Schizosaccharomyces pombe: one gene and its partner. The protein of the gene in region 1 interacts with the protein of each later gene in a pairwise test. Each region holds a gene or a part of one and is shown on either strand. Other genes may lie near its edges. The genes, in order: rpl3202 and nap2.

What was found.
Region 2: the proteins of rpl3202 (region 1) and nap2 interact in a two-hybrid assay, tested with the Schizosaccharomyces pombe proteins (2 studies listed by BioGRID).

The regions. Positions count from the first base shown.
Region 1 is NC_003424.3:3,414,652-3,417,743, forward strand, and holds rpl3202 (60S ribosomal protein eL32), read right to left. Parts: upstream 1,406-3,092; 5' UTR 1,391-1,405; coding exon 1,007-1,390; 3' UTR 757-1,006; downstream 1-756. Other genes in the region: protein hob2, read left to right, coding at 2,071-3,092.
Region 2 is NC_003423.3:2,983,852-2,988,038, reverse strand, and holds nap2 (nucleosome assembly protein Nap2), read left to right. Parts: upstream 1-2,139; 5' UTR 2,140-2,190; coding exon 2,191-3,330; 3' UTR 3,331-3,532; downstream 3,533-4,187. Other genes in the region: UV excision repair protein rhp23, read right to left, coding at 11-852, 894-966, 1,007-1,075.

The DNA of each region.
Region 1 (3,092 bases):
AGTATGTGTATGTATATATACTCTTTCTATATAGAGACTTAAGGTCTTACGGAAAGTGGTGGATGCGTACGTATGATAATAATGCGTAAATTATTTCGGTAAATACTTAGTTTGAGAAAATAAGACAATGATTATCAGTGTTTTATACGTAAGAATAGTCTATTTAATTAAAGTATAAGATCAACACTGACTACAATCTCCTTTTAATGTTTGAGGGGCTGACGACCCTCCTAATCTGCTTAGTAAAGCAGTTTTGAGTAATAAAAAAGAGAATTTATGTCAAGCAAGAACAAACCAGTTTAATGGATTAGGATATAAGAGTGCTCGATGGCAAAACATTTATCGAAAAAATTATGTAGGAATCCAAAAAACCTGCAAATCCAGCGTCCTCCAGCTCAGATCAGCGCTAAAATATGTAAAGTTTTTGAAAAATGAAATGTTGTCATCCACTGAAACACTTTCTAATTGATCTTTGGTACTTTAAATCAAAACCAAAGACAACGTTAAAAAATATACAATGTAACCAAGGATGAAAAGAAAAAAGTTTGAAGTTGAAGGTTTAAATGGACAAGATGAGGTTTGAAGTTATAAGTTAAAGTAGACAGCTTCATGTTCGAATAGTCTAGATATACATTTGCAGAGATAAGCTTAAACAGATCTGAAAAAATTTGTCCCGAGTAGATGCGTTTGAATACATATTTGATGTGTTTGAACGAAATATAAGAATAGTTCTCAATTAAATAAAATATTAATGATATACGTTTAAACGGTTTGAGAGCCAAATGATCTGTTTCAGAACTCTTCGTTCATCTTATCGAATGCAGAAAAGCTAAATGAAAACGACTGCGTCACGTTTAACCATTTTTTTTAAAAGTGAGAAACTTTTTAAATTAAACTGTGAAAGGGAAATTTCGCTTAATAAACTAAAAGTTATCAACGATTATACAAAGAGTTTTTTTCCAATACCAAAGTACTTTCATTAACTGTACTAAGTCGTGATTCTAATTTACTCCTGAGAGCGAACCTTAGCACCGGCATTGGTGACCTTTACACCGAGAGCACGAGCCTTTTCAACAATTTCAACACGCTTACGAGCAGAGACGTTACCAGCAATCTCAGCAGCATAAGTCTTGTTATGCATCAACAAGAGCTCAACATCTGAAACGTTACGGACTAGGAAAGCCTTCAATCCATTAGGCATGCAGTATCTGGTCTTCTTGTTATTTCCATAACCAATCTTGGGCATGGAAATGGTGCCACGGAAACGACGACGAACACAACTATCAATACCTCTGGGCTTTCTCCATGATTCTCCAACACGCTTGAAGCGGTCAGACTGATGGCGCTTGAAGGGCTTGGTGCGCTTCTTGATGATATTGACAGCAGCCATTTCTGTTGTGTGGGTGGAAAAGTTAGCACTTGTGTTGTGAGTGTGTTTTGGAACGAACGTGACTGCTTTTTATGGGGATGGTAGCTGAGTTTTCATTTTTTGCGCTATAGTTCCCAGATTTGACATGTTGAAAAAGAAGTTAATAATATCTCTATTTAAATGATCAATAACATTATAAAACTAATCATTCTTCATTTTCATTTCTGTAATATCCCGTATTTAGCTTTGCATATCAAACTGATTGCTTTTCTTCAATGTTTCCTCCGTAACGCGAAATTGTTTCACTACCTTTAAATACCGAGCTTTTTGTAAGATACGCAAAACATACTTAACAAATTGAAAAATAACGCACACATCCCTCTACTTTGATAATAAACTTAAAAATGTATGCGCTACATATCGATATAATATTTAACGGTTTCCTCAAGCGACTTCAATTTCCGATCCACGTGGCCGTTAATCCCTAAACTTGTTTAGTCAAGCGACTACCGCTCTCGCTGATCACTGACATAGCGTGTACCTTCCCGCCTCTTCCCGCTCAGTTGGATTTCTTCGTTACACCAGCTTTATTTTACACAGTTTCCTTTCTCCTCCCTCCTCTCCGTTTCTGCAATTTCCTTACCTTTTCATTAAAGGAAAAACGACAAACTTATAGTAATCTCTATGTGTTTACATACTTGATGAACCCGTTGTTTCCTTTTTCCTTGCTTAATCCATCAACGATGTGGTCGTCCTCGCAAAACACTTCATTCGTTTGGGTGGTGATAGCGACAGGTTTCCTTTTTCATTTGGTTCTTTTTGTACTGTCATACGTGCTGGGATGGCCCTTTACAAATTTTGGATTCTTCTCCGTGTATGGCCTACGACACACGTTCCGTAATGGAGACTCGGTTTTCATCTCGTATGTGGCACTTCGTCTGCATCGTCCTTCTACTTCCAAGCCCTATTTACTGCGCATTGTAACCAAAGGCTTGATTTATACTCCATCACTTTCCAGTGCTAATGATGCACAATCGGCTGGTAAGAATGAGAACCAAAGATCTCGATTGGTGTTTAAAGCAAAGCGTGAGGAAGAAAAAACGGAGGAGAAATTTTGTCATGCCGTTTACATGTCTAACTTACTTCGCAATGTGGAGCAAAAATGGATTCAGTTTCTTCACAAATCTTGGATGAAATGGCTTCACATTAGTATCCAAGAATCTCAATTGACATTTCCCTCTGTAGGAACATTCGAGTTGGGCAGTCTTTCGATGGAAATGCGTCCTGAAACCAATAATGTCGTTGGATATGAAAATCCGTCTGATCCCGAACTTGTATCCTCCTGCGTAATTTGTAGCATTCGCTTGGCAAACCTGGTTTACATTGACCGCCGGCAGAGCAGTCAACAGATTACCGATTATTTGGACTTAAGCTTACAAACCTATTACTCTTTAGATAAATCAAACGTTCCTGACACGATTCTGCGTCTTCGTTCTTCCATCAAAGTGGGTGTGTTATATATAGATCTAGATACTCCACTTTTTGAGCATTTGTTAAATTCAAATTCTTCCGGAGGAAATCATTCTTCCTCCTCCTCCTCCTCTGGAAAAGTTCATGTGATGAAGGATAATGTTGAAGCGGCCTTATTAAAGTTACAGGAAGCTCAAATCCAGATCGGTACATTGAAGCTTTGGAAGAGAAATGTAACGGGATGTGGAGCCAC
Region 2 (4,187 bases), on another chromosome or scaffold:
AATAACATACTCTATCAATACTCTCAGATTCTTCTTGAGTAATTTGAATCTGAATTCCACCAGAAGGTAAGGCAGACTCGCCTTCGGCACCCTCCGCCAATAATTGCAAAAATGCTTCAGGATTTTGCGTAATAGCTTGAGCCAATGCAGGATCTCCCTGCCCAATTTGTTGCAATATAGTTTCCAACATCTGTGGATTTTGTTGAACAATTTGTCTTAGCTGTTGAAATTGAGGAATGCTACGAAGGAAGCCTAGAGGGTCATCACCAACGGTATTAGAAGGTTGTTCTTGATTTTCATTTTCTGATAAAGCAGCTTGTTCAAAAAGATTCGCTGGCTGGCCAGTGGAAGTAGGAGCAAGGGCTTCGCTTTGCTGTTGCTGAGCAGCAAGGGCTGCAGCACTCTCTTCTCTCTGTCGATTGAGAATGTCTTCGGGAATACCAGTTAATAAGTATTCCACTGCCCGATCAGGGTTGTTAAAAGCGGCACGCATGGCTCTTTCAACTTCGCTGCGTTCGTATCCCATTTCTACCATATTTTCGACAGCAACATTTCGTTGAGCACCAACTGCCAATGTGTTGGCGTCTATTGGTGCTTCACTAGTGGCAGTAGTATCTGGGTTTGAAGGGGCAGCAGCAGCAACAGTTTGTGTAGTAGAGGTAGATTCCGCCACGGTAGAAGAAGGAGCTTCAACTTTCTTTTCAGGTACGGAAGCCGGAGGATTGGGGGCAGGACTGGCAGCTGATTTCGGAGTAGAGGTGGAAGTTTTGGGTCGTGAAACCATGCATACAATGAAATCCTGTTCTTTTATATTGTATTCGCCAACAGTTTTGTCATCAGCAAGGATTCGACCTATAAATTAGTATTTTACATATTAAAATTATGTTATATACCTGAGTAAATTAACTTTTGACGTTCGACTTCATAATTCTGTTGCGTTTGAATTTTTTCTTTTAATTCTGAAATCTGTTTACGTTAGAAAAATAATATGCCACAATTATCATACTTTGGTATCTGCAGAAACATCAGAAATAACAAATTTCTGCTGCTGTAGATTTTTGAATGTCAAATTCATTTTCAAAGCAAATTTGGCGTAGTGGGTAAATGTATAGTAATGAAAACCTCTTTGAAAAAACGTTGCATCAGAGAATAATTGTCAAGGTAGCAAACAAACACCATACACAAGTAACATTATTTGGTATCATCGCATTGTTTATCATAAAATGTGAATGAAAAATCTAAAAAGCAAAACAGTTTGGTTTATTTGAACCTAAAATTTAATGTAAGAAAATATTTCATTTGTTTGAAAGTGTTGTGAGTGAAACATTTACCTCGTTTCCAAGTCCATTAGTACTCAATACAGTGTATTAGTTTATTCTTTATTCTTTAATTTACTATATATATATATATTTTTCTGTTGGATTATTCATTCTCATTTTCTATTTATTTACAGAACGATCGCTAATAAATTTATATATATTAATTATGATTTGTTTATTTAAGTTAGCAATGACCGTTACAATAGCAGATTTTTATTTACAAGTTTGACTTTTGAATTATGTTCCGATAGTTTTTCGCTCCTCCGTGGGCAACTAACTAGTAAACAAATGCTACAATAAGGTTGTTTAACTCATGAATATAGAAGTATATGATACGTAGAGTTGTTTATTAATCAGTATCCATATATATATATTTTTTATAGAATTTTCAACTAATAATTGGGATACGATACATATGTTAAACTAATATGAATAGCGTAGACACTTTGCTTAAACGAGATATATACATTTGTTTATTTCATTGATTTTTTTTTTAGCTATTTGGACAGCTACATCAGAATTTGAAAGCAGCGCCTTTGGTTTATACAATCCATTACCTTTGTCAGAGAAAGTATAAGGAAAGCGGAGAGAAAAAAGTCAACGTATATGTAAACTTCCGGATGCTTTCTAATTTTACATATTCTTCCAAATAAAACCCCAAATACTATCCCAAACTATGATAGCCGCTAAACACATAAATATATTTCATTAAAGACTCTCATACGAAAAATGCTGTAAACATATCATTAAAATATGCTAAGCTGCAATAACGAGTCAGGCCCAACATCTCTTTGGTAGACTTCACGAAGATCCACAGTCCAACAACGAAGCTTTACCAATTTAATTTAATCTCCGTTTGCATTATTAAAATATGTCTAAAGGTCCAGGAGATTTTAAGAAGTCTTGGAATGGGTTTGCTGCTCAAACGCCACAAAATACTCCATCTTCAGATGTACATCTTAGTAAGGCCGCATTAGAAAAAGCTAGACAAACCTTGCAATCACAACTGGAGGACAAATCAGCACATGATGAAGTTAGCGGGTTATTGCGCAACAATCCGGCCATGTTATCAATGATTGAGGGACGCCTTAGCTCGTTGGTTGGAAAGTCGTCGGGATATATAGAGAGCCTTGCGCCAGCAGTCCAAAATCGTATTACAGCATTGAAAGGCCTTCAAAAAGATTGTGATGCAATTCAATATGAATTTCGTCAAAAAATGTTAGATCTGGAAACAAAATACGAGAAAAAATATCAACCTATTTTCTCTAGAAGAGCCGAAATTATCAAGGGTGTTTCTGAACCAGTGGACGACGAATTAGATCACGAGGAAGAAATATTTCAAAATAATCTTCCAGATCCTAAGGGAATTCCCGAATTTTGGCTGACTTGTCTTCATAATGTTTTCTTGGTTGGCGAAATGATAACACCAGAAGATGAAAATGTCTTGCGATCACTCAGCGACATTCGTTTTACCAACCTTTCGGGAGATGTTCATGGTTACAAACTAGAATTCGAATTTGACTCAAATGATTACTTTACAAACAAGATTTTAACGAAAACTTATTACTATAAAGATGATTTAAGTCCTTCGGGTGAGTTTTTGTATGATCATGCTGAGGGTGATAAGATTAATTGGATCAAGCCTGAAAAAAATTTAACGGTTAGAGTGGAGACAAAAAAACAACGTAACCGTAAAACAAATCAAACTAGATTGGTCCGTACTACGGTCCCTAATGACAGTTTTTTCAACTTTTTCTCACCTCCTCAGTTGGACGATGATGAATCTGATGATGGTTTGGATGACAAAACAGAGCTTTTAGAACTCGACTATCAATTGGGAGAAGTCTTTAAAGATCAAATCATACCCTTGGCAATTGACTGTTTCTTAGAAGAAGGTGACTTGAGCGATTTTAACCAAATGGATGAAGAAGACTCTGAAGACGCATATACTGATGAGGAGGATCTGTCTTCAGATGACGAAGAAATTTTGAGTAGCGAAATTAGTGATTGATATTTATATTGTGTTCGTTAGATTATGAGTAAGTTCAATGTGAGCAAAAATGAGAAATTGACGCTGAATGATAATTTCGCTTATAGTTTGGTAAGTTTATTGTGGCTTAAAAAATTAAAATGTTGATTTACGTCGTAGTATCCTATAAAATATTTAATAAGCGGATCTAAGTTAGGATTTGTCTTTAAAATTTCAATTTGTTTTCTTGTCTTTTTAAATTTTGAATTTTTTTTTCCAATGCAGGTATAAAAAATATACTAAGTAATTTTTTATCATTCTGTGAGTATATTCTACTTACATGGTTCCTTTTTTAATAGCTAGTATTAGGTTAGTACGCGCATTATTTGAAGCTGTGGTGTTATTTATTAGCATTTGCTTTTCTAAAATGATAATGCGGACAGCCAGCAAAAAGTAAGCGGCTATTACTATAACTATCTGCAATAGCTTTTTCTATTTATTTTATACGTCAAAGCTAGATCTGTTCGTACATTAATTAACAATCTTTAAGTGCATTGTTAGCTCACACCGAGTTTATATGATAAGGTATAAGAACTAGTACTAGGTTGGAAGAACTACAACTAATAACGGTTCTGACAATAAATCACTACCTCTTGTAACTCTAAGTTTAGTTACTTCGATTGTCAAAACGTAATTATTATATGAACACAAGTAGAGATGTCTATTCATTCTCTTCACCAATCTTTCAAAAGAATTATATTGAATACCTCTAATTTGTTGCTGAGACCTAAAACAATTGCTTTTCAAACAGCAGGAACCCATCTTTTGCTACATATGTTTACCTTACTAATGAGAAGTTATGAGCTGCAAATAATAACACTGCGATGCTACTAATGTCA